7 linked regions of the Oryctolagus cuniculus genome follow. The protein of the gene in region 4 interacts with the protein of the main gene of each other region in a pairwise test. Links are inferred from orthologs where the notes say so. Each region holds a gene or a part of one and is shown on either strand. Other genes may lie near its edges.

The links.
Region 1: the proteins of PIN1 (region 4) and CCDC184 interact in binary tests that used the Homo sapiens proteins (3 or more experiments, as listed by UniProt). The two-hybrid records come from large-scale screens. The link is inferred for Oryctolagus cuniculus from reciprocal best matches to the Homo sapiens genes PIN1 and CCDC184.
Region 2: the proteins of PIN1 (region 4) and JAKMIP2 interact in binary tests that used the Homo sapiens proteins (3 or more experiments, as listed by UniProt). The two-hybrid records come from large-scale screens. The link is inferred for Oryctolagus cuniculus from reciprocal best matches to the Homo sapiens genes PIN1 and JAKMIP2.
Region 3: the proteins of PIN1 (region 4) and RBPMS interact in binary tests that used the Homo sapiens proteins (3 or more experiments, as listed by UniProt). The two-hybrid records come from large-scale screens. The link is inferred for Oryctolagus cuniculus from reciprocal best matches to the Homo sapiens genes PIN1 and RBPMS.
Region 5: the proteins of PIN1 (region 4) and RBBP8 interact in binary tests that used the Homo sapiens proteins (3 or more experiments, as listed by UniProt). The two-hybrid records come from large-scale screens. The link is inferred for Oryctolagus cuniculus from reciprocal best matches to the Homo sapiens genes PIN1 and RBBP8.
Region 6: the proteins of PIN1 (region 4) and GLI1 interact in binary tests that used the Homo sapiens proteins (3 or more experiments, as listed by UniProt). The link is inferred for Oryctolagus cuniculus from reciprocal best matches to the Homo sapiens genes PIN1 and GLI1.
Region 7: the proteins of PIN1 (region 4) and CEP76 interact in binary tests that used the Homo sapiens proteins (3 or more experiments, as listed by UniProt). The two-hybrid records come from large-scale screens. The link is inferred for Oryctolagus cuniculus from reciprocal best matches to the Homo sapiens genes PIN1 and CEP76.

What each region holds. Positions count from the first base shown.
Region 1 is NC_091440.1:137,729,988-137,732,907, forward strand, and holds CCDC184 (coiled-coil domain-containing protein 184), read left to right. Parts: upstream 1-1,460; 5' UTR 1,461-1,722; coding exon 1,723-2,268; 3' UTR 2,269-2,420; downstream 2,421-2,920.
Region 2 is NC_091437.1:35,267,463-35,271,441, forward strand, and holds the start of JAKMIP2 (janus kinase and microtubule-interacting protein 2), read right to left. Parts: upstream 2,801-3,979; 5' UTR 2,459-2,800; intron 1-2,458.
Region 3 is NC_091433.1:80,425,844-80,429,973, reverse strand, and holds the start of RBPMS (RNA-binding protein with multiple splicing), read right to left. Parts: upstream 2,801-4,130; 5' UTR 2,519-2,800; coding exon 2,453-2,518; intron 1-2,452. Other genes in the region: collagen alpha-2(I) chain-like, read left to right, coding at 2,915-3,685.
Region 4 is NC_091447.1:67,377,720-67,381,940, forward strand, and holds the start of PIN1 (peptidyl-prolyl cis-trans isomerase NIMA-interacting 1), read right to left. Parts: upstream 2,801-4,221; 5' UTR 2,704-2,800; coding exon 2,646-2,703; intron 1,556-2,645; coding exon 1,340-1,555; intron 1-1,339. UniProt on the Homo sapiens protein: Peptidyl-prolyl cis/trans isomerase (PPIase) that binds to and isomerizes specific phosphorylated Ser/Thr-Pro (pSer/Thr-Pro) motifs.
Region 5 is NC_091441.1:54,689,054-54,692,553, reverse strand, and holds part of RBBP8 (DNA endonuclease RBBP8), read left to right. Parts: intron 1-2,083; coding exon 2,084-2,172; intron 2,173-2,928; coding exon 2,929-3,043; intron 3,044-3,500. UniProt on the Homo sapiens protein: Endonuclease that cooperates with the MRE11-RAD50-NBN (MRN) complex in DNA-end resection, the first step of double-strand break (DSB) repair through the homologous recombination (HR) pathway.
Region 6 is NC_091442.1:60,090,853-60,094,352, reverse strand, and holds part of GLI1 (zinc finger protein GLI1), read right to left. Parts: intron 2,964-3,500; 5' UTR 2,945-2,963; coding exon 2,845-2,944; intron 2,689-2,844; coding exon 2,596-2,688; intron 1,220-2,595; coding exon 1,024-1,219; intron 800-1,023; coding exon 655-799; intron 363-654; coding exon 228-362; intron 137-227; coding exon 1-136. UniProt on the Homo sapiens protein: Acts as a transcriptional activator. Binds to the DNA consensus sequence 5'-GACCACCCA-3'. Regulates the transcription of specific genes during normal development.
Region 7 is NC_091441.1:69,551,029-69,554,528, forward strand, and holds part of CEP76 (centrosomal protein of 76 kDa), read right to left. Parts: intron 2,446-3,500; coding exon 2,317-2,445; intron 1-2,316. UniProt on the Homo sapiens protein: Centrosomal protein involved in regulation of centriole duplication. Required to limit centriole duplication to once per cell cycle by preventing centriole reduplication.

The sequences.
Region 1 (2,920 bases), on a different chromosome or scaffold from region 4:
ATGCACTATACTCCAGGGCACTGGGGTGCACAGGGCCCAGCTGGGGAACCCAGGCAGCTCAGAGGCTACCCGTGGATCTCCGGAGTCCAGCTCCTTCTCCCATTTTCTCCTTGTCTCAGTTTCACACAGAATTCCTGAAAAGATCTGGTTCTGAATCCAATGCACCAGCTGGCCCACTCCCTGCGCTCCCACCTACCCTTAGCTCACAAGCGGCTGACCTGGAGCTTGCTGAGGTCAGCCACCCCGCCTTGACCTGCGCACCTGTTCCCAGGGGGCTTTTGTGCATCCCCAATAATTTCGCCTCTGGGACCTCACGGTCACTGCCTCGGGCAGCGTGGTGTAATCTGATCCAAAGCCTTTACAAACTTGGTGTGCTCACTAACAGCAGCAGAGGGCTGGCATAACCCAGCTGCCACCCACGGGGTAACGTGAGGGATTGTCAAGATGGGAGCAAGGCAGGGCGAGCGAACCAGCGAGATGAAACCGTGCGACGCGCTGGCCGAGAGCTGAGAAGGCAGGGGCTCAGCCCCGCGAGCTTCAGGGTCCCTTCCGGCTACTCAGCACTCTCCTGGGGAGGATGAGTGCGAGGTGAACCCACAGCCTCTGAGAACATGATAAGCGACTGGTGCAGCGCCAGCGCAGCTGTTTTTAATGGGTCCTGCCCGCTCCTGGCTATCAGAAAGCCGTTCTGTGCACACCAGGCAGACTCGGCTCTGCTTAGCGCAGCGTTTCTGCGCTGTCCGACGCTTTAGGAATCACTTACAAAGTTCTTACCCACGCGGAGGGCACAGGAGGTGAGAACTGCAAGCAGTAAGGAAGGAATGGACAGCGGATAGGACTGAACGGGCAGTCCGGGAAGACGCGCTGGTAGGAGGTTTTTCACGTTCAGTGTATTCGAATGGCTGCACAAGACTATGAGCGACGCCTTCGACTGATGGACATCTGCGATATTCCCAACCGCTCGGGCACCAATCGCTGGAGCACCGGCCTGGGCGGCCTCGGGCTGCGCGGCTGGAGCAGCAGGACTCCGCGCCCGGCTCCCGTCCAGGAATTCGGCCGCTCGCCCGAACTCCAGTGCTGGCTGCGGACCCCTCGCGGCCTCCTCCCCGCCCTCGCCCTCAGCCAGGCAAGGTTCCGGAGCGGCCGCCGCAGAACACGAGCGGCGCGGGCCTCGGCACACGCGGCGTGAAAAAAGACCGAGTAGAGGCCTCTTGAAACGGGCTCCCCGGGAACGCCGCAGTCGCCGGCCGCACTCCGCGCCCGCTCACGGCCGTGCCGAGCGCCACACGAGAGCGGGCGACACGCAACACGCCGCCCTCGCGAGGCCCGCCGCGCGGCACCCGCTCCCGCACACCCGGCGGCCCCGCCTCGCCCACTGCGGCGCCCCGCCCCTCTCCCCGGCCGCCGCACGTCCTGGTTGCCACGGAGACACGTCACGTACGTGCCGTGCGTCGCCTTGGAAACGGCAGCTCGGCGCGCGGCCGGAGCCGCGCCCCCGCCGCCCGGGCCGCACTCGCGGGCGCCGCCCGTGCCTGGAAAGGGGTCGGGAGCCCCGCGCGGCGGCCTCGGCCTGGACGGGACCTGCGGGCGCGCGCTGCGCGGGGCGCGCTGACTCGGGCGCGGTCCGGAGGCGAGGCGTGCAGGGCGCGCGCGGGAGGCGCCGGCCCCGGTACCCCCGTAGCCGCCGCCCGGCGAGTCCGAGCTGGACGCGCCCCCGACCCCATGGAGGACGGCCCGCTGGAGCTCATGACCAAGGACGGCGGCGACGTGCCGGCGCCCCTGGAGGTGTCCAGCGTGCCGGCCGTGGGCGACGTGCTCTCGGGCGAGTACAACGGCGGCATGAAGGAGCTGATGGAGCACCTGAAGGCGCAGCTGCAGGCCCTGTTCGAGGACGTGCGGGCCATGCGGGGCGCCCTGGACGAGCAGGCCTCGCACATCCAGGTGCTGTCGGACGACGTGTGCGCCAACCAGCGGGCCATCGTGTCCATGTGCCGGATCATGACCACGGCGCCCCGCCAGGGCGGCCAGGGGCGCTGCGCGGGCACCCCCCGGGAGCCCGAGTGCCCTGCGCCGGGGGCGGTCGCCAGCGAGGACCCGGAGGACGGGAACGCCGAGGAGGAGAAGGAGCGGCCGTGCCCCGCCGCTCCCGCCGGCCGCCGCGAGCGCCCCGAAAGCCCCCGCGCAGGCAGCACGGCCGCGCCGCCGCTGGAGCCCCGAGACCCGCCCGACGCCGCCCTGCTGCGGCTGAGGGGCGAGGCCGCGCTGTGAGGCCCCGCGGGCGCCCCCCGGCCGCTGCGGGTCGGACGCCGCCCTCCGACGGCTGCTCGCGGTCCTGGCCGAGGGGCGCCCTCGAGGCGGGGTCTGTTGGGCGCAGGCCCGTGGGAGCTGGGGCCGCTCCCGCCGCCGGCCGCGGAGCCCTTGCGGGCTGCGCAAAGGTGAGCTTGCGGGAGAGGACGCGCCGGCCCCTGCCCTGCCCGTCCCTCCCCAGGTGGCGAGCGGACCGCTGGCCTGTGTAAATAGCACCCTGCCTTTTCTATTCACGACAAGGACTTCTCTAGGACGGTGGCAAACAATCTCAAACGATTTGCCTAGAAATTAAGGAATCGGGGGTGGGGGGGATTCTCTTCTGCCCCTCTGTTGAGTCCAAGACACTCGGTGCTCCGCAGAAACCGCCGCCCCCACCCCGCCGCAAGTCTGCGCTGCCGTTGGTAAAGGGAGCCCAGGACCCGGGTGAATGGGGTTCCCGGGGCGGGCGGGGAGGCGCTGGCTGCGAATGTGCATGAAGACACGGGAATAGCGCAAGCTCTGGATTGTGCATGCAGCGCGGATCCCGCCCGGTCGCTGACTTCGCCTGGGACTGCTTCTCCTCTCGCTGGGGTTAGAGAACAAAGAGCCCAGCTCGCAGCAGCCCAGATGCAGG
Region 2 (3,979 bases), on a different chromosome or scaffold from region 4:
TGGCCATATTTTAGTTTCTAAGAAAATAAAAATAAGCAATGTCCCAGATAAAACCATCTGGTTATCTGAAACAAACAAATGCTTGTCACCTCTCATTTGTCTCTTCTTCAAACAAAATAATCCTACTTTTTTTTATCTTTCCTCAGAGTTCAATTTGCAATCCTTAAAATATACTTTATTTTTAGGTGGCCCCTCAGACAGGCCTCATAAGCATCTTAAGTTGCAGGATCAAAACCTAGATCTGTATACACATCAGTGTCTGGCCTGAAACAGTCTACTTACAGTGACTTCTAAACCCATGGACTGTGGTGATTTGCCTCTCATCAAACTGTACCAACTTTGCCTATGAAACCACATTCAAACAAAAGACATAAAAACAAAGCCCCAGGATATCTGTTCATTGCATGAACGAGGGTGAGCTACTATGTGTCTTAATTTTTTCAAGTTTACTGTAGATATATTTGAAATTTTAATTTTGGAAGTCGAATTATCATTAAAAGATTCAGGATATGGTGTATTATAAAATTTTTGATATGACATATAAGCCCAGTGCTTCTTTCCTTGTCCTATTTAATGTAGTTTTTACAATTAGGCACATGGAACCTGAATTTAGAGAGTTATGAATCTATATAATCTATGGCAAGTTATGAAAATATTAACTAAAGTCACTAACAAAGCTTCCCATGTATGTACCAAACAGGACAATTATTTTCAGAGAAATTAAGCTATAAACCTGATTCAAAGATCTGTAAAAATTGTAAATGGAAAGGGGAAAAGTGCATGAAATAAAATGCAAGATTAAAGCAAAACAATTACAACATAAAAAAGTTTGCACTGACAACGATATTAGAAAAGAGGCTGATGGATTAAAAAAAGCGTACACGATGAATGTAATATTACTAATTCACTTTTACCTGCAGGGATTGTCCTGGCTTTAATTCAACAACATCCATTATCCTGTAATGGAGCTGTATATACTACTCATCTCAGGCATGCTTAGTCCCCTGGAGTTGCCTTAAAGCCTTGACATAATAAAAGGTCAAGCTGATCCTAGCATGCATTGTAAACTACAATCACCCCCCCCCCCATTTCAGCTACAAGTCCCACATTCTCCCTGCTAACACTTGCTCACTTTTTTTCCATTTCATTGTATAAGCAGGCCAATTTGGAAATGGCTAGGCTAGCGTAGATGGGGACACCTAAATTTTCAAAATAATCCTACTTTCCTACTTAACCACTTACAGAAGCAGACCATAACACAACATTTGAGAGAACAGTAAAATGGTGCCTGGATACTGAAGGAATGAACAGCGAATAGCAGCACTCTAAAACCAAATGAATGCATTTCGTCTCCCAGCTCAGCTGTGTTTCTCGGGACACAAGGCTCAGACATAAAAAGGTTGAAGTAGAATTTCAGGAAAACCAATTTGTTTAAACATTCCATTGGCAAAATGCTGGATGCAAAATAATACCACAAGCCATGTCCCTTTACCACCGCTGTAAATTCAGGGCCCTCAAAATCACTCCCCTCAAATCCAATTAAAAATAAAGAGGCAAGCTATGAATTGGCATCTAGTTGTATGATACAGATCGAATGATAAGCATCTGTCCTAATGGGTCACAATGAAACTAAGGGAATAAATCTCACATTAATCCAAATGAAGCCAATGAATAATAATACAAGCCAGAAACTGTTTCAAAAAATATGCAATTACTTCCAAATATATAGGGACATTCATAACCCACAAAAACGCTTGCAAAGCACACTGCATATAAGCACTCTTCATAAATGCAATGTAAATGCTGGGGAACGTGTGTATGGATGATATGCATATCCTTATGGTGTATATGTTCATAACCAAACCTATGTCCTCAAATCAAACTCTGGATCTTGCAAATGGTTCCTCAACAACAGTACGTTCAAATATGAAATAGAATGCTGAATTCTGGAGCCACCTTTTCTTAGCAGTGAAGAAAAATAAGCCAAATCACCTTAAAATTAGTCGAGGAAGCTTACAAGATACCAAAGGTGTTTTTGAGGAAGGCCCAAAGCTGTATGTGAGAGCTGCAAATGAATTGATTCCTTTCAATAACACCCTTTCCTCCTGGTTAGCTCTTTTTCCACAAGCCCCCCCTCCCCATTCTGTTGCTAAGCTTGGTAGGAAAGGAACCAACTGGCTCTGTCTGTAGTCTGAGCCAGTTCAAGACAAAATCAGAACACCATTAAACACACACACACACACACACACACACACGCAAACGGATGCCGTCTCACTTCCCTCTTCCTGGCAGCCTTCCTCTCTCTCCATCCCCATCTCTGTCTCCATATCCCCACCCCCCTCCTCCTCACTCAGACTCAGGGATGGGAGTCATTGTTCATGTCCAGGCCACACACGTATATATAAGTCATGTAATAACAAGCTAAACCAAGAAGGGTGACCCACTGTCTCAGACTCACCATGCTGAGACCCGGAGAAGCTGCTGAAAGGAGGGAGAGATGCAAACTGAATCCATTTTCCCTGTGACCGATTCGGATGCAGCCTCCGAACCCAACATCAGCAGCGGCTGCTGGTCTTTTTCCCCTCCCTCTTTGGTTGGCGACGGTGCGAATGGGAACCACCCTTCCAGCCCCGCTAGAGTATCAGCAGTAGAGGCGGCAGCAGCGGCGGCGGCAGCAGCAGCAGCATCACCATTTGGGCCTCCTCCCTCTAGGAGGATGGGGTGAGCTCAGAAGCAGCCAGGAACTTGCAGCAGACACCTCCTCTGACTCCTCCCCCATCTCTCTCCCCCTCCCCCACGGCCCCACCCCTGCTGCGGTAGAGGCTGCCGGCCCAGCAGCTGCTGGTTGTCATGGCAACGACCAATGGTAAGCCACGGGCTAAGAGGAGGGGAGATGGGAGAAGCGAGCTGCAGGGGCTGGAGGGGAGCGAAGTTGGGGCTGGCGCTCTGAGAAATGATGCTCTTGGTCTCCGATCCTGGACTCCAGGTCGTCAGAGATGGGGCTAGGGTGCATACGCATGGAAGATAATAATTAAACTGAAATGAAGTGGAGATTGAAACGTATAAAACAGTTTAGTTGTACTTGGCATTTTCTATGGATTTCCAATAAAATGCATTAAAGTTGCTATCAGAAAAGATGACGACAAATGTGAAGAAAATTATTGTGACAGCAGATGATCATTACTCCAAATTTGTCCTTTCTGGAGCATCTTTTACTCAATAGCACTCAAGGTTGTTAAAAAGCCAAGTGAGTGGTTGGACTTTGCAAAAGATTCATAAGCTGATTTTTTTTCTTTCAGTGCTCCTGGCTTATTCTCAGGTGAATCACTTGGTTTCACTGTTTTTCCAGCTCCTCTCTGAAGAGAACCTGGAAGTATTTAACACTCCTCTGAGAAAAGATAAACTGGAACAGAGGAGTGAGGTTCCTACAAACAAGCAGGATTCTCAGCAGCACCTGTTGGTGGACAGTTCCAAATCTTTCTAGTGTCAAACTACTGGAGTGTTTAATTGCCAGCAGGCAATTCCATGCCGTTTTCATAGAGGCCCTTTTAGAGTTCCCAAACCAACTGGCAGTCGGGGTGGTAGGTGGGAAAAAGGGAAGTGAAATCAACAGTGTTGAGTCTACAGAAGTTCTGTTTCTAACTATAAATTATAGATGATGCTGTTGTGTATCCCATCCACTTGTGAGGATTGAGATAATTCTCTAAAAACACTTGGCTTGTAGTAAGTGTACAACAAATATTTTCTATAATTAGTACTATTAGTAGTGCAGTGTTTCACTGTAGCCACCACCTAATATAAACATACAAAAGAAGAATGTGGCAGTTTCAGGTAGAAGAAAAACAAAGGAAAGAAAGCATTAAACATGCGATGGCTGTAATAATGGTGATGATGATTGTAGTGGTGTTGGGAAAGACATGGAATCCTTAAGAGATTAAATGTGCTAAAAAATTTGGCAGTTGAAGACATTAATATTAGA
Region 3 (4,130 bases), on a different chromosome or scaffold from region 4:
AAAGTGTATTCTGCTCAAGTTCTCAAAAACTCCCACCACCAAAAACTGCAGAAATTTCTCCTAAATGCTGGACTGCTCATTCTATCCAACTGGAGCTAAACGGGGATTTAGGCATCTTTTTCAGGGTCGGCATCAGAAACTCTTAACCGGGGTTAAAATACACTGGATGATAAAAGGAACTCATTTCCATAGAAAATGACACAACTTGGACTGCACAAGGTGGCAAACAGCCGAAGCACCCTGACAACCACAACATCGACCGTTTTCTCACGGTGATTGGAACTCACTGTCCACTGCCGTTCACAAGTCACCAGAAACAGCCCTCCTGTCCTGGTGTGTGCGTGTCCGTGTTACACGTGTATGCCCTGTCTCCTGCGGCCCATTGCCAAAGCTTTCTGAAAACAAACCGCTGCTCCTCTGGGTGGGCAGGCAAAGCGGCCAGTGCAGTGGGATTTTGTGCAATGCTAAGCTCACTGAATGGCACCCACCAAATGCCATATTTATTTAACTTGTGGCTTTCAGGGTTAGGAAAAAAAAGGGGAGGGGGAGAAAGAGAGAGGAGGTTAGTGTTTCAAAACCAGAATGTCAACCATAAACCCTCTCTGGTCAGGGTGTATCCGCAGTGTATACTCTCGCTTCTTATACAACCTGGGTTCTGAAACCTTCCTACCTCCTGTCTTATTTTTTAAGTAACAAGCGTTTTGCTAAAAAGACCTACACCTGGAGGAGCCCACGCCTTTCCCACCCGGAAAGGAACGCTGCTGGGGAAACTAGAAGCAATGCCTGCGACTTGGATGGCCTCTGATCACAGGGACCCACAACCTCGCGATAACCGAGCCCATCCAGGCAAATCCTGGCGGCAGTTCACCTGGCATGGGTCAAGAGAAAAATCTGACTTCTGTCGTCCATTCGATTTTAAGTTAATTGGATATGGTTTTCGAGACACCTGAGCCCATTTTGCTACTACCAAAAGAAAAAGAAAAAAATCTGCAGTCTGATGAACTTTCTCTTAACTACAAGTTTCCTCAACTGGTTAACAGAGAAAGATTGTTTCACAAGATACACTCTCACACTTAGGAGCGGCCAGATTGCCACTCTAAGTGGAACAGAAAGGTTTCTGAAGCAATGATTCTCTTGACGGGTTAAGTGAATTAGCTGCACATGCCAATTCCTGAAAATGCAAATTTGCCATCATTTTTCAGTTTTTAAAGGACAGGGAAAATAAACTAAACAGTAGAGAAGCCAGAAAGTGGAATTTGGAATTCCAGCCTTGGTGTCTTTTTAAAAGCACTGTCACGAGTAGTCCTACATTTGCAGGCACCAAACAAGAAGGGGCAAACAGCTTTTCAAAATAAAGCTTTGTCATAAAACAGGCGATTTCCTCCAGGAGCCAATTCTCAGCTTACTAACTCACCCAGGTGACAACGCTGCTCCACGGCGCTACCTTTTGCATTGTTTTGCATGGTCTTCGCCTGTCTCTCCTATTTAATTAAATAGCTCCAATTTTACACGTGGACGACTTAAAAGGGCTGAGGGATTCCTGCACGAGGTCCACTTCCAACTCTCGGGCCCGGCGCTGCGGCACCGCCTCGCCGCCCGCGCGCACCGCACGCTCTCTGGCTCCCGCACACACGCGCGCGAGCTCTTGGCGGAAGGCTGAGAGCCCCAACTTCGAGGGAACTCAGCAAGTGAGCGGAGGCACTGTTTCTGGGGCTGCGGGAACAGTCATTTGAGAAACCCCACAATCATCCCCTAACTACGGAGTTCTGGAACGTGCGTCCCGCACACCCCTTCCCCACACTTCCTCGGCTTCGCGTTTGCCAAAGGCAAGTGCCCCCCAACTGCAAGCTGTCTCCCCTCCAGGATCCCGGACGCACAACCCAAATCAAAGTCCTACCGCAGCGTCCTGGCCAGCATTCCGGGAGCGACGCTTTCGGCCCCTCTCATTCTGCTCCCCACATCCACACCCCGCCCCCGAAGTCTACCACAGCCCGGGGTTCGGGGGTTCCCGCCTCGCGGGCGGCGAGTTATCGATGAATCCACACACGCCCCGGCTCCGGAGAGACTTGGCCAAGAACTTTTCACACCGGCGCCAGCGCCAGCCCCTAACAGAGCTTCTCCCCAACTCCTTCCCAAAGCCGCCCGCACGCACGCACACAGACACACGCACTCCCTCCCGCCGGCTTCCAGCCCCTGGCGCTCAGAGAAGCCCTGACCCTCGGGTCCCAGTAACCTGAGGTCACCCAGGAGTCAGCTCTCGATTCCGCTTTTAAAATCCCGGGCACACAAAGCCGAGCATTCTACTTGGAGGGTGTCTCCGCAAAGTTCTGCAAGTCACGCAGCGCAGGGTGCGCGGACACCCCCAGAACCCGCGCCCTGGAGACGCACCCAGCCGGGGCCACGGCGCGCCGGCCCCCGGACGCGCCCCGCCGCCCGCCCGGGCCACCGCTACCTCTTCCTCCTGGAGGTTGGCCTCGCTCGGGGTGTTCTCCTTCTCGGCTTTGCCGCCGTTGTTCATCTTCCCGGTCCTTCGTCGCCGGGCAGGGCTGGGGCGCGGGGCTGGGCGAGGGCGCGCTCGCCCGCTTCTGCCTTCCCCGGGGCGCCGGGGCTGCCTCGGGCGGGCGCCGCGGGGCTGCGAAGGCTCGGGCTGGGCTCCCGCGGCGCGCAGACGACGGCGGCGGGCGACTCGGGGAGGAAGTGCGGGCAGGGCGCGGGCGCGGGCCGGCCGAGCGGGGCGCGGAGACAATCGCGACCGGGAGGGAGACCTGGGGCGGGAGGGCGGGCGCGAGGGAAGGAAGGAAGGGAGGGAGGGAGGAAGAGAGGATGGGGCGAGGGCGCGCGTCCCAGGAGTGAGCGCGGAGAGCTGGGGCTGGGGGCTGCCGCTGCCGGAGCAGAGCGAGGCTGGAAGGAAGGGATGGGGCGGCCGGAGAGGAGGAGGAGGAGGAGGAGGCGCCGGCCGCGGCTGGGACGCTGGGACGCGGAGAGCCGCTGGCTGCGCGCTCCTGGCCGGCTTTGGGAAGTCCGAGTCCGCTGCAGCTCCTTTCTCTCGCCTCCCTCCCTCCCCTCTCCGCTCTCCCCTCCCTCTCCGCCTCCCTCCGCCCTCCCTGGACGTGGGCTGCCGCCGTCAGCCCGCAGGGACGGGACGGGGGCCGCCGAAGCCCCCCGGCGGGAGGAGGGGCCGCGGAGTCGGCGCGGCCCGGGCCGGATGGCGCGCGCCGGGGAGGGGCGGCGGCGCGGAGCGGAAGCGGCCGACCCCGGCCCCGGCTCGACGGCAGAGCGAGGGCCGGGCGGGCTGAGCAAGGGAGGCTGGAGAGCCGGGTCCCCGGGCGCACGCGGCGTCCCCCGCGCCCCGGCTCGGAGAGGGGGCTTCGGGGAGCCGGGCCCTGGCCGTGCGCGGACCGGGGGCTGGGATGTGCCACTTTTGTTTGCCTGCTTTCCACGAGGGAGCTGCGCGCCCCCGGGCTCCTCGCCGGTAGGGGCTGAGACGCGGGTCGCGCCCTCGGGGCGAGGGCTTGGAGGCCCGGGACGGAGGAACGCCGGGGACAGCCGGGCCCCCGTGAGCCCCCCGCGAGCCCCCCGCCGGCCCGCTCTGGAGTTGATTGTTCACCTGGCCTCTCTTTGGGGAGCGCCTTCCTGGCAAAGGAGACCGAGCCCTGTTTATCCGGCTAATCCCGCGGCTGTTTAAATGAGCCCCCCGGCACACAGTGGGCACTTTTCTAAACGAGTCTTGGCAGGCAGCCCTGGAGGGTCAAGGCATTCGGGCAAAGCGAGGCGCCCGCCTAGTGTTCCCGCCGCGCCTCTGGGGGACTGCCTACTTTATTTTCTCGTCCGTGAAATGGGTGCAGTTACCCCGGAGTGTGGGGGGCACGCCTCACACCCTCCTGCCCGCTGTAGGCTTACAACATGGATGCTAACATCATTATGAAGAAAATTTCCATTTCTTCTGGGCCTGGAGCCTTTTGTCTTATGGGTCCAGTTATGCGTCTAAACTTGACTGCTACAAATGTATAACCTTACAACTCGCAACTAGTTCGTTCAGCGCCGCCTCCCGCTCCCAGGAATTCCTTCCTGCACAGCACCTATCACAGTTTCTATTTATTGACTGGCCTGCCCTTTATCTTGCCTCCCCT
Region 4 (4,221 bases):
GGACACCAACAGTGACACTGGGCGGGCCTCGGATTCCTGACAGCCCCTGGCGGCAGCCCAGCAGCTGCAGAGGAGCTGATGCTGGGAAGAGGAGCCTCTGCAGAGAGGTGGAGGCGCTGATTCTCGCTGCAGACGCGTCTCCCGGGGCAGCACCGGGTCCCAGTGGGCACTGAGGAGACTCGTGTGGGCCCAGGCTGCCAGCTGGGGAGGGCGCTGGCCAAACCATCGACTCCTGATCCTCTGGAACACAGCCAGACCGGGGGAGCAGTCACCTGCACACACAGGACAAGGCCCAGGCACCCAAGGCTTGTGGAAAACACACAGGATGTCTGGTTACTGAGTGCGCCACAGCCAAGGCCGGCTCACCACGGCCTCCTAGCAACCTCTGAGGGTCCTGCACCAGTCCCACCTCGAGCAGGACGACACTGAAGTCAGAGAAGGTCGCAGTCCAAGGTCACCAGAGGGTCTATGCTGAGCCCACCAGACCGCCCGTGTCCAGGCCCAGAGATCTTTCCAGAGAAGCAGCCCATGAGCCCAGGCCTTCCCTCGACCTCAGCTCCCCCATGCATATGCCTCAAGGACTGGGGTCAAGCCCCAGACACCGAGCCCACGGCTCCCGGCTCTTCATGGGGACACGCGCCCAGCCTACAGAGGCAGCCACCGAGGCTCAGAGAACACAGCTGCTCCAGGACACACAGCTGGCACAAGACCCCAGTCCTGAGGAGCCCAGGGTGTGGTGGGCCTCCCAAGCAGAGCCTCGCCCACTTCACACACCCCTGCATCCTCCCAAGTCTGTCTCCTGAATCTCTCTAGAATCCGCCTCCCCCTCATTTCCACCCTCGGCCCACCCCAGGCTCGAGCCACACTGCCTCTGCCTGCAATCTCTCCCACAGCCTCCACAGGCCCCCCCCCCCCCCCCCCGCGCTGGCAGCCTGCTGACATCCCCAAATCTCCACCTACGGAAGAGCGGGCCCGGGCCCACCTGCTCATGGTCTATCCCTTCCTAAGACCCAAGCTGGTGAGTGCAGCCCCACCGCAGCACCGACCCAGAGCTGGGAAGGCCGCTCAGCCTCCTGCCACCTTACCCGGATCACCCCACATGTCCTTTTGGCCTCCCTGCTCTGCTGAACCCAGACCTGCGTCCGGCTGCCTCCCCAAGTTCCGCCCCCAGCCCCCAGGATTTAAAGGGCCCCGCCCAGGATGAGCCTCTTCCCAAGTTCCCTCTGGCAGGAACTCCTGCAGCTCTACCTCCAAACGCCCTCTTCCTCCTGGAGTCGGCGAGCCTCAGAGCAGGGAGAGCAGAAGTGGAGAGGATCCCGGCCCGAGAGCCCCTGCTCACCGTTGATCAGCTCCAGGGCCTCCTCCTTGGTCCGGGTGATCTTCTCCTGCCGCCAGGACGAGGGCCGCCGGGACTGGCTGTGTTTGACGAGCAGGTGCGAGCAGCGGACACGCGCCGGCTCCCCCTGCCCGATTTTGCCTCCACCGCTGCTGCTGTTGCCGCTGGGGCGCTCCCACTGGCTGGCGTTCGTGATGTGGTTGAAGTAGTACACCCGGCCTGCGGGGAGGGCAGCAAACCCATCGCGTGTCCACCCTGCGCCACGGGCGGACACGGCAGCGCACAGCCCCTGTACTGAGGGGGCTCACATGCTCAGTGGGGGAAGACAGGCTCCAAACCAGCAAAGACGACAACAAGAGAACCCCAATGACTGCTAACTTCAGGGAAGAAAAAATAACACAGGGGATCGGGGGGTTCCAGCAACAAATCCAGCTGAGCCACCCACTGAGGCTAAGATGCTGTCTGTGGGCCTTATCTCCCCGAGCCTCAGTTTTACTCATCTGCAAAATGGGGGTGAGCGAATCAACACCATCAAACCTCCCCTGGGTCGACACACAAGGACTATTACTTCGACTGTGGCCACTGCGGGCTCCAGGGGCGGCAGAGGGACCCTAGACCTACTCAGAGAAGCCGGGCCAGCTCCTCGGGCGCTCGCGGTGACACAGGAAAAGCGCCAGGGGCCCTGGAGCAGGCAGACTGGGTTCCAAGCCGGCTCCAACCCCCCTGAAATGCACGATCTTGGAAGACATCCTTCCACTTCCTGGCCTCAGCGTCCCCACTTGTAAAATGGGCGCACCAACGACCCATCTCCCAGACGTGCGGCAATTCTCAGAGAACTAAAAACACGATGCGGGGTGCACACCTAACGGGGCCAAGCTTTCGATTGGGCTCCAAGCAGACTCAGGAAGAGGTGTGGCCGGCAGGTGTGTGTGCCACGCCTCTCTGCTCGGTGAGGGGTATCCCCCTCCCCAGGGAGTGCCCCGGGCCCAGCTCCCCGCAGAGCGACAGGTGCAGCAGGCCCGTGCTGGCTGCAGACAGCCGGGCTGGCAGACTCAGTGCCGCCGCCTCAGGGAGCGCCGCGGCCTCCCCGGCCCCTCCCCCGCCCCGCCCCCTGCCTCAGTTTCCTCCCGGCTCCTGAGCCTTGCAGCCCTCCACGGGGGCGGGCCGGCGCCGTTACTCCGAGGGCGACGCGGAGGAGCCCAGACCTCACGGGACGGAAGCGGGGGGCTCCTCCGCGCTCGAGGGCAGAGCTCGCGCCCTGCTTCCGTGGGCCCGCGCGGCCCTGCCCCGGCCCCGATCCCCGCGGCACCTGAGCTGCGGCTCATGCGCTTCTCCCAGCCGGGCGGCAGCTTCTCCTCGTCCGCCATCTTCCCTCCTGCCGCAGCGCCCGCTCCGCCTCCGCCGCGCCGCCTGTCACCCGCGCCCGCCCACCGACGCTGCCCATTGGCTCGGCGTTCTCCGCACCGGGGCCTGGCAGCGACGCTCATTGGACATTCCAACCGTCAGGATGAGCTCTCCGTCTTGCTACTGGGCAGAAGCGAGAGTGGGCGGATCCCCCCACGTTACACTGGTACCCGGCCCCTAGTCGGGCTCACTCAGGCCCCGCCCCTCTCCTCTCCTTGGCTCCTAAGTGGTGGATTAGAGACTCGAGACCGCCCTTCTCAACGCCCTTTGGCGAGAGCGAAAAAAGTCCCAACCCCCTTCTTGGCGCTCTTGGCGGGCGGAACCCGACCCGACAGGATAGAGCTTATTGATTGGCTGCCGGGGCAGCAGTTCCCGCCTGCCCGAGCCGTTCCCGGAAGGCCGCACGACCCTCATGCGGAAGCGTCTGGCCGCTGTGCAGGTTACTTGTGGGAGGAGGAGGCGGTGGTACCCGTGCTGTTGCCATAACAACGCAGTTGCCTTGGTGACGAGCAGCTCAGTGCCCGAAGCCTAAGTTTGGCTTCTCCAGCCTCCCTCTTCCCACCTGCTTCTTCCAGATGTCCAAAGCCAACCCGGCCTCGCTGGGCTAAACCATTTTCCCCCCGCGGGCCCTTTGGAATCTACTTATTTCCTCTCACTCTGGCTGCTTCCTCCTCCCTGGCGAGGAGAGCGCGAGAGGAGGCGCAGGTGGGAGAAGCATGAGCTGCTGCGGGGGTGGCCGGGAGTGCCAAGGGCTGCAGGTGAACAAGGGAGCGCTTTATCGGTGTGCCAGTTCCAGACCTAGCTCCTCCACTTCTGATCTGGCTTCCAGCTAATGCACCTGGGAAGACAGCGGATTATAGTCCCTGCACCCACATGGGTGCCCCTTAACAACATCGAGGCTCAGAGACGTGGCTCAGGGAAAACACAGAGGCAGGACGAGGTAGGAGGCCAAGGGCGCTGCGGAGCCACCTTGCTTGGGGGTGAGGGGGTGCGAGCAAGTTACTGAACCCCCGTGCTTCAAGTCCTCCGATTGCAAAGTCGGAGGAAGCAATACTACCACTTCTTCTGTCTGATGCGATGGTTAAGGAGTGGTCCCTATAAAGCACTCAAAACACTTCCTAGCCTACAGCTAAGATATGTTAAGTATTATAGGCTTATATCACAGCAAATTTATAGATTCATTAAAATGTTGACTACCAGTGGTGATACAAGTCAAATGACAAAAAATGAAGAACTTTTTAATGTTCTCATTTTTAAGCACATCTTAGCATAATAATTGTAAAAGATAATTGGAGTTGCAAAAATAGATTTCACCCAGCTGGCAAATGGGATAGCATTTGACACAGCAGAACGGAAGTTTTCACTTAGGAGCAGTTTTGTTCTCCAGGGGACATCTGGTGATGTCTTGACAGTTATGGCTGTCACAAAGGGAGGAAGGGACAATTTAGTGGGTAGAGGCTGTGGAGACTGCTGCACATCCT
Region 5 (3,500 bases), on a different chromosome or scaffold from region 4:
AGAGATTGAGTTGTTTTGAAAAAAAAAAAATCGTAACTTCTTCCTGCATGAGTCTGTATTTGCAGTATAATTTTCACTGGTTACATTTGACTGTGATTTTTCTGCTCTTGTGCTTTTTGAAAAAAGTAATTGAGATCTTTTGGTGCTTTTATAGGTGATTTTATGGATTTACTTGTGAGGATTTTTTTTTTTTTTTTTTTTTTGGTGGGGAGGGAATCTGTTTTCTTTACAGAAGGTTAAAAAAATTAACTGTATTTTATTTTAAAAAAATAAAAATTAGAACTTTCCTTATCTAAACTTGTTGCTCACTCCCTGGGTGACATGTTGTTCTTGGCCTTTACAGGTATGTCTGTCAATACATGTATACATGTATTGACAGGCTTTTCAACTTCTTATTTGAAAACATTATTTGATTTCATATGTTTATGTATTGTTTCATAATTTTGTTGTGTTTAAAAAAAGTCCTTTTGTCTTTTCAGTCACCAGACACTTCTGTAAGTTCAAGTACACTATGTTTTTCCTTTATCCTTCATTGGCAAGTTACTCCTTCATTCTGGATTTATTTTCCTTTTTTCCTGAAGCACATAATTTTAATTGTTCTTCCAGTGACAGTTTCAGTCTCTGCATGAAAACCTTTTTTACCATCTTATTCCTGAATTTTTTTAGCTTTTTGTTTTTATTTTTTTTAAACTTTTCATGTTGATTTGAAATGGTTGTGGGACCCTGGGAGAGAGAAAGAGAGTTATCTTTTCTGCTGGTTCACTCTCCAAATGTCCACAACAGCCAGGGCTACACCAGGATCATGGAACTCAATCTGGATCTCCTGTGTGAGTGGCAGGAACCCAGGTATTTGAGCCATCGTCTGCTGCCTCTCATGGTGCACATTAGCAGGAAGCTGGATCCAAAGTGGAGCAGCTGGGACTAGAACCAGGCACTCCACTATAGGATGCACGTTTTCTAAGCAGTGACTTACCTGCCACACTAAACACCTGCCCCTTTGTTTTTACTATTTTCATGGTTATCCCAGCGATTACAGTATAGCTACTTCATCTTTCAGGATCTATTGGAGGTAATATTTGTACCACTGCAACTATACTTTATGTAGTTATCATGTATTATATAGGCATACATTAAAAACCCCTCCAGTGTTATAATTTTAACTTTTTTAAAAAAATGTTTGTATTGAAATATAATTCACATCATAAAAATCACTCATGAAAGTGGACAGTTCACTGGTTTTGGTATATTCATGGGATTGTACAACCATCACTATATTCTAAATTTAGAACATTTTTGCCATTTTCCAAACTCCTTCCAAAACCTAGGTACCACTAATCTAATTTGTTTTCATATATTTGCCTAATCTGGAGTTTTCATATAAATGGAATCAATATGTGGTCTTTTGTGACCTCTTTCACTTGGCATAATGTTTTCAATTTTCATCCATATTATAACATATTAATATTTCCTTGTTATTGCTGAAGAACATTACATTGTACATGTTTTATTTGCCCACTCATTTTATTTGTTTCTATGTTTTTGCTATTACGAACAGTGCTTCTGTGAACATTTGTGTACAAGTCTTTCTATGGATGTATGTTTTCATTTTTCTTAAGGTCTACCTAGGAGAGAAATTACTGAACCATATGCTGACTCTGTGTTAAACCTTGTGAGGGACTGATGAAATGTTTTCCAAAGCAACTCACCTTTTCACATTCCCACCAGCAACATGGAGGGTTCCAGTTTCTACATGTCCTTACTAACATTTGTTTGTCTCCCTGATTCTTGCCAGTGTGACGAAGTGTCATTATGGTCTTGCACTTCCCAAGGGCAGCTGATGCTGAGCATCTTTTCATGTACTTATTGGCCATTCATGTATCTTCTTGAAGAACTGGCTGATCAGATCCTTTGCCCATCTTTTATTGGGACATTTATCTTTTTAATATTGAGTTGTGAAAGTTCATTCTGCAACCTAGATACAAGCCCTTTACCAGACGCATAATGTTCCATGTGTACTACTCTGTGGCCCTATAATGTTTTAAAGTGATGGGAATTTTTACGTATTTTTTCCTCCTTATTTAAGATGTATCCTTTGAAAATATCCAGTGGAGTGTAGATCCAGGAGCAGACCTTTCTCAGTATAAAATGGATATCACTGTAATAGATACAAAGGTAAGTTACAAGTAGAATGAAAACACATCTGATTTTAATTCTAGTGAGCTGTTAGTCAACCTTCTTTTCTGACTCACTCTAAGACCTTAAGATCATCAGATTTCTCTTAAAATCTACATTTACTTACTCAAAAAACTGCGAAATAAAGGTACTTGTTATTCTCACTTTATGATGTTTTGAAAGGGTAATATTTCCTGACTTTAAAGACTTTTGCTAGGAAACATTCATGTAGTTTTATAAGTAATATAAGGTACTAGTAATATATTTTAAATAATTGTTATCCAAATAATTTATCATCCATCTTGATTAGCTGTGAAGTCATGTTGCTTCAAAAAGAAAATTCATATTCCCAGTTGACTATTTTTATAATTAAAATTCATACTGAAAATACTTTTTTGCCTTATGATTCTAAGTAATTTGAGAAGTTGTCTTTTACTTTAGTAGCATGTTCACAACAAAATGTTTAAATAGGTGATATATATACCAAGAAAGAAATCATATTTGGTTTTGCTATTAGTGTACATTGGTGTTCATTACAGTGAGACAAACTGGAGAAGAAAGGTAGCACAAGCTCCAGGGAGTTTGGTGTCAGTAGCTCTCCCTTTGTAGCTGTTGTTAAAATACAAATGTGAATATGAGTTCATTCTTAAAAACTGAAAGATTTATTGTTTATTTTATCAATTTGTTTTTGTGAAAAGTAAATATAAGGCCACAAAGGGATAATTGTTTTAGATTTTTTTAAAAATATTTTTCCAGGATGGCAGTCAGTCAAGATTGGGAGGAGAAACAGTAGGCATGGACTGCACATTGGTCAGTGAAACCATACTTTCAAAAATGAAAAAGCAAGAGCAGAAGGGAGAAAAAAGTCCAAGTAAGATTTTTTTGTTTTTGATAAAAATATGGGGGGAAAGTTGGTCATTGTACTGTTGCACTGATGAACACCATGTTCTCCTCACCATAAACCAGTTTGTTTTTTCCCCTGCTTTGTTAATTTTATTTTCCTCTTAGGAAAGCTCAATTCAGTATTTTGGGGGGGGAAAAACACCTTTAACCTAAATAATTTTTATTTCAGAAAGAAATCAAGTTATGTCCAGGGGTCAGTAAACTACAGCGAGTTAAAATTAAGTTTTATTGCCACACAACCTCTTTCTGTATTGATGTGTTGCCCATGGCTACTTGTACTAGACAATGACGGAAATCAGTGAGTGGTTGGTGCGGAGGCCCCATGGCCCCACATGTTTAAAATACTTACTACCAGTCCTTTTGAGAAAAAGTTCACTAATGTCTGGTTGAGATAAATTTTTTTATGAAGCATATAAAGAATCCTG
Region 6 (3,500 bases), on a different chromosome or scaffold from region 4:
GCACCAGCTGCTCCTGGGAGTCAAATTCCTGGCTGCAGCCATCCCAGCGGCAGTCAGTCTCATACACGGATTCCGGCTCCGGCTTCTCCTCCCTGTCCGGGTCCTCCCGCCCGTCCAGCATCCCCAGCAGGGGATCCTAGGGCAGCAGAGGCAATCTGAGGGTCACATGGGTGACAGCACTGGTTTGGCTCAGGGTCCCAGAGGTCCAGCCCCACTTCACCTCTTACCTGTGTGCCGGTAGAGTTGGGGCTGGACATGTCCCCTTCCAAGGGCTCCTCTGGGCACTTGCCAACCAGCATGTCCAGCTCCGACTTCAGCTGCCCCCAGGGGGAAGAGGTGAGGGTGGTCAGAGTAACGGCAGGCTGAAGAAAGGGGGAGTTCTGCCCTAGGTGCCCCACCTCAGCAACTGGAACCCTTACATTGGGAAGGGACTTCAGCCTGCACAGGTGAACTGGAGGGCAGAATGTGGGGTCTCATTGGGAGGGTGTAATTGAACCCCAAGGAGTGAGCCTCCAGCAGCCATGCCTCCTCACTCTCTGGAGCTGAATGCTTATATTCCCTGTCCTCCCTTCTTTGCCTTTCTCCTAGAACGCCCTCCACTCCCTCCCCTACCCTGAGCTAAGGGGAAGCAGGTTGCCATATGGGGCCTCTCACCTGGCAAGGGGGGAGGGGTCCCCGGACCTGAGGATGTGGCATCATCCCACTGCGGGTGGAGTCGTGGGGCCCACAGGGCTGGACCCCAAAGGAAGGCGAGGTCCCTTTTTGGTGATTCATCTGAGATGGGAATCCCAGAGAGGGGCTGGGGAGGAGGAGAGAGAAGGCAGTTACTGAAGATGATGCCGAAAAAGCCTCCAGGAGGGTTTCTGGGAGACTTAGTATGAGATGCGCTTGAGGCAGTGCAGGGAGGGTTGCAATGCCTTTGAAATGGCAAAGATTCAGTAGGGTCACGTGGCTTGGAGGGCTAGGGCTTTGCATGGGCTTTGGTAGGGCTTTAGGGCCCTCTTAGTCTGGGGCTGCCTGCACCTCATGGTGCCAATGGAGAGATGGCCATAGGAGCCTCCAGGGGATGTGCAGCGAGAGTTGATGAAAGCCACGAGGGAGCTGGGCGAGGTGCGGATAACGGTCTGCAGGTCCAGGCTGGCGTCCGACAGAGGTGAGATAGACAGTGCCCGCTTCTTGGTCAACTTGACTGCACTCCGGGGAGGAGGGAAGAGTGGGCCTGGGGCAGGAGACAGGGGACATAGAAATGTTGAAGAAGGGGGTGGCATTGTGGTGTAGCGGGTTAAACCGATGCCTGCAACACCAGCATCCCATAGGGCCGCTGGTTCAAGTCGCAGCTGCTCCACTTCCCATTCGGCTCCCTGCTAATGCGCCTGGGAAAGCAGTGGAGTCAGGGGTGGGCATTTGGCCCAGCAGTTAAGCCACCGCTTGGGATACTGGGATCCCTTGTCAGAACACCTGGATTTGAGTCCTGCCTGTCTCAGTTTTGCTCCCTACTCCAGCTTCCTGCTAATGTGCACCCTGGACAGCAGTGGTAGTTGGGCCTCTGCACCCACGAAGGAAACTGAGGAAGCTCCTGGCTCCTGGCTTCAGCCTGGCACAGCCCTGGCCATTGCAGCCATTTGGAGGGGTGAACCAGTAGATGAAAGACCTCTGTCTTTTTTATTTATTTATTTATTTATTTTTTGACAGGCAGAGTGGACAGTGAGAGAGAGAGACAGAGAGAAAGGTCTCGCTTTTTGCTGTTGGTTCACCCTCCAACGGCCGCTGCGGCCGGCGCACCGCGCTGATCCGATGGCAGGAGCCAGGTACTTCTCCTGGTCTCCCATGGGGTGCAGGGCCCAAGTACTTGGGCCATCCTCCACTGCACTCCCTGGCCACAGCAGAGAGCTGGCCTGGAAGAGGGGCAACCGGGACAGAATCTGGTGCCCTGACCGGGACTAGAACCCTGTGTGCTGGTGCCGCAAGGCGGAGGATTAGCCTAGTGAGCCACGGCGCCGGCCAGACCTCTGTCTTTTAACTCTACCTTTCAATAAATAAATTAAAAAAATCATAAAAAAAAAAAAAGAAATGGTGATGAAGCAAATCTCCTTGAACTCAACCTGTAGGTCCTGATTCAAAGCAAACAAAAGATACTTGAGGGCTGGGCATTTGGTGCAGGGGTTAAGATGACCACGTCCCGCATCAGAGTGCCTGGGTGCGAAAGCTGGCTCCACTGCTGACTCCAGCTCCAGCTAGTGCACGCTCTAGGAAGCGGCTGTGATAGCTCAAGTGACTGGGTTCCTGCCACTCACATGGGAGACCTGGATGGAGTTCCTAGTGCCTGGCTTTGGCCTGGCCCAGCCCCAGCTGTTGTTAGTATCTGGGCTATGAACCAGAAAATGGGGACTCACTGTCTGTTGCTTCTCTAATAATAATAATAATAATAAGCAACTTTGCTTGTCCTGCTGATCGCATCTGTGGCCTGTTGATGATGCCTTGAGCCCTCACATCTCTGGACATCTCCTGCTTCTAGTTAGATGCTCTGCCCACCCACTTTCTCCTTCAGAACAAGTCCCAGAGGGGCAGAGAGGAAAGACGTGCCTGAGGCCTCACCCTCGGTGCAGTTGCTGGTCTCTCTGGCTGGCCCATAACTGTGGGGGCCAGACATGAGGTTGGCTTGGTGGCAGAAGGGCAGACCAGACAGTCCTAGAAAAGACAGATGGCTGGAATGGGGGCGTGGGAGTGGATGACATGTAAGGCCTCACCTTGAAACTCCAGGCAAGACCTGATCCCAAATGCCAAGCCCGTAGGACATGGAGCCTCAAAGCCGCTTACAGATGGGAAATGCATAGGTGCACTGACCTTCTGCCCCCATGCTGGGGGGGCCCTGGCTGGGGAGGGGCCGGAGACAGCAGGGTTCACCATAGCTACTGACTGGCGGTGGGGTCATCGAGTTGAACATGGTGGAGGAGGCAGGGACACTGCAGAAGGGAAAGGTAGAACCTCAGGTTATGAAGGTGGAGGGAATTAGCGAAGGTCCCTTCATGATCCCAGGCACAGGACCCTGGGCAGGGCTGTCTGTTCCCCCAGGCCCTCGAAGGCGTCTTCCCTGGAAACCAGGTTGAAAAGAGCACCGCTCGGGGTGGGCATTTGGCCAACAGTGAAGCCCCTACTTGGGCAGTCCAGATCCCATGTCAGAGCACCTGGATTTGGGTCCTGCCTGTCCCAGCTCTGCCCCCATTCCACTTCCTGTTAATGTACACCCTGGAGGGCTGCAGTAGTTGGGCCCTTGCCACCCACATGGGAGAAGTGGATGGAGTTCTCAGCTTCTGCCATTGGCTTGGCCCAGTTCCAGTTTTGCCAGCATTTGGAGAGTGAACCAGCAGATGGAAGCTCTGTGTGTGTGTGTGTGTGTGTGTGTCTGTGAAATAAATAAATAACAAACATATAAGCATCCTCCTGCCAGGGCCAGGGTTAGGGTGAATGCCCCAAGGGATAAAGGCCTTCTTGCAGTCTTG
Region 7 (3,500 bases), on a different chromosome or scaffold from region 4:
AATGGAACAGCAGTTTCTTAATTTCATTAAATAGTCGAGTTCAGGAAGAAGCAGCAAGAAACAACTCAAGAAATCCAAGTAAGATAAGCATTTTACCTATTCTATGTATGGGGAAAGAGGTGGCATAAACCGAAAAGGCATCAATCAAAAAGCACAATTTAATATATACTCTACTACAACTGAGTTGCTTTTCAATCTTCGAGAAAGATCTTTACATCTCTACCCTTCATGTTGTTTATGAAAAGAGGCAATGCCTGGCCAGTTGACAATCTTCCATGTTAAAAATTTGAGACAATAGGCCGGCGCCGTGGCTCACTAGGCTAATCCTCCGCCTTGCGGCGCCGGCACACCGGGTTCTAGTCCCAGTTGGGGCGCCGGATTCTGTCCCGGTTGCCCCTCTTCCAGGCCAGCTCTCTGCTGTGGCCCGGGAATGCAGTGGAGGATGGCCCAAGTGCTTGGGCCCTGCACCCACATGGGAGACCAGGAGAAGTACCTGGCTCCTGCCTTCGGATCAGTGCAATCGCGCCAGCCATTGGAGGGTGAACCAACGGCAAAGGAAGACCTTTCTCTCTGTCTGTCTCTCTCTCACTGTCCACTCTGCCTGTCAAAAAAAAAAAAAAAAAAAAAAAAAAAGAAAAAATTTGAGACAAAATGGCCTTATGTGGTTCAAATCTTCTCATAATGCTTTTTTTTTTTTTTTTTTTTTTTTTTTTTAAGAGAGAGAGACAGAGAGAAAGGTCTTCCTTTCCCGTTGGTTCACCCTCCAATGGCCACTGCGGCCGGCGCACTGCAGCCGGCACACCTCACTGATCTGAAGGCAGGAGCCAGATGCTTCTCCTGGTCTCCCATAGGGTGCAGGGCCCAAGCACTTGGGCCATCCTCCACTGCCTTCCCGGGCCACAGCAGAGAGCTGACAGAATCCGGCGCCCCGACCGGGACTAGAACCCAGTGTGCCGGCGCCACAGGCGGAGGATTAGCCTAGTGAGCTGCAGTGCCAGCCCATAATGAATTCTAAGAAACAGGAAATTTGTTGAAGTAATACTTCCCAGAAGAAAATCCCAATTCTATAATTTCCTCAGCAGCCTATCAACTTTTTCCTCTTCTTTGATCTGTCACCACCTTTCTTTCCCTCCTCCTGGTCCTGGATTCCTCGCCTACCTGGTCATGCAATGTGTACTAGCAGACATTGCTGCCAGAAGGTTTGGAGACGTTTCCTTTGTTCCCACCACTAGCTAGAGTCTACTCTTTCCAAGTTCCTCAACTAGAAATTGAACCATTTTTAGCCTGTTCCAAAATCTGGAGGAAAGCAGGGTAAAGTTACAAACATAAGACAAAGTAATTCTATACTATACTGATATGAAAGCATCTACAGAACACACATCTGACACCATGATTTAGTCAGTTAAATCACTACGTGCAACATCTGCATGCCATATGGGAGCACTTGGTCCAAGTCCTGTCAATTCTACTTCCAACTCAGCTTCCTGTTAAATGTCACCCTGAGAGCGAGAAGATGGCTCAAATATTTGGGTCCCACCACACTCACAAAAGAGCCATATTGAGTTCCAGGCGATTTCAGTCTGGTTGTTGTGGGCATTTGGGGTGTGAACCAGTGTTTGTCCCTCAAACAAAAAATGAAAATAAGTAAAATTATATAAAATCATCAAAATGAGGCTGAATACATATAAAATATTTGAATGTTCTTCAAAAGTTTTCAAAAATATACGACTCTTGTCATATATTTTATGTTTGTTAAAGAGAGAAAATGGGAAAAACAGAGGCAGAGACATACTGTTGAAACACCAAAGCGAAATTACTGGTCACTGGCTAGGAGATCTTGGTTACACAGGATTATTATATAAAATTGTTTGCTTCAAAAAATTGCCATTCCCACCCTGCTCCAAAAGTAGACACACACACACACACACACACACAAATTGATCTTACATATAAAAGTGTTGAAGTGGTTAATTATTTCATTCTAAGTATTTAGGATATATTCTATATATTCTATATATATTTATATATATATTTATATATATATAAATATATATATATATTTAGGATATATTCTAAGTTAAACAACTACTTCAAATCAAATATATTCAAAAAAGGTTTAAAAACACAATAATTAAAATCAAAAGTACAATAGAAGATTATATTATACCACTCAGTATAAGAGTATTACATAATCATTATTTATTTTACAAGTAAACTTTCATCTGTCTGAATACTCTTTATAATTAAATTAAACTTACATGTATAACAGTAAAGCTCAAATACAGGCATGAAGCTTTCCTACCATAATTTACAAACCTGTGCAAAAATCTTAACCAGCCGTGAGTTGTGTGAGGGACGAATCTGTAAATATTCTCTCCACCACTGTTTAGCATATACAAGAAATAATCGCTCTTTCTCTGCAGTTTTCTGACGTTCCAAAGCAAGCTTGAAATAAAAAAAAAAAATACATTTTCAATCTCTATTCAATCGCCTAAGGACAACAAATGTAGCAAATCTATGATTCTCCAGGACTGTCCTCATGTGAACCCCATCATCTCTTGTCTGTAGGAACTTCATGACCTCCCTACTTCTACAGGTACTCAGTACAATCAAGTCTCTATACAGTAGTCAGAGTAATTTTTCTTTCAATATAGAAAATTAAATCATATTTTGTCATTCCCTTGCTTAAAACACTTTTAATCTTCTTTCACCACACTGCAAACTATATGCCCAGGCCTGCAAGGTCTGGCCCTGCCTCATTTTCTACAGTCCCCATCCATGACCACACTCCAGCCACACATAGGGTTTTGCTTCCCGCATAGGGCCTTTTGCTCTCAGTGGTTCCTGTTACCTGAAATGCTGACTGAGGCCCAATCTTTGCCTAGCTGGTTGCTTCCTGCATTCAGATCTTTCCCTACCCCAATCATTTGATTTAAACCAAGCCTTCCAGGGGCTTGTGCTGAGGCCTAGTGGGTAAAGCCACCGCCTGCAGTGCTGGCATCCCATATGGGTGCCAGTTCGAATCCTGACTGCTCCATTTTGATCCAGCTCCCTGTTTATGTGCCTGAGAAACCAGTAGAAGATGGCCCAAATCTTTGGGCCCCTGCACCCATGTGGAAGACCCAGGTAAAGCTCCCGGCTCCTGGCTTCAGGCTGGCCCAAGCCCTGGCCATTGGGGGAGCAGACACAGCAGATGAAAGACACCTCTTTCTCTCTCTCTCTGCCTCTCCATAACTTTCAAATTAAATAAATAAATTAAAAAAAAAAAATAGCCTGCCATTAACCACTCTGTCACACACTTCACCCTATAATAATTCTCTACCTAACACTAGTTTATTGCTTGTCTTCCTGCCAGAATCTAAGCTCCTTGAGAGCAAGCAGTATCTCCAGTTTCTGGAACAGTGCCTAGCACTTGTTAACCATCTGTTTATGATCAATAAATATTTCTGACAAAAAATTTATCAACAGTATAATTTTAAAGAGAAAATCTGCAAAATCAG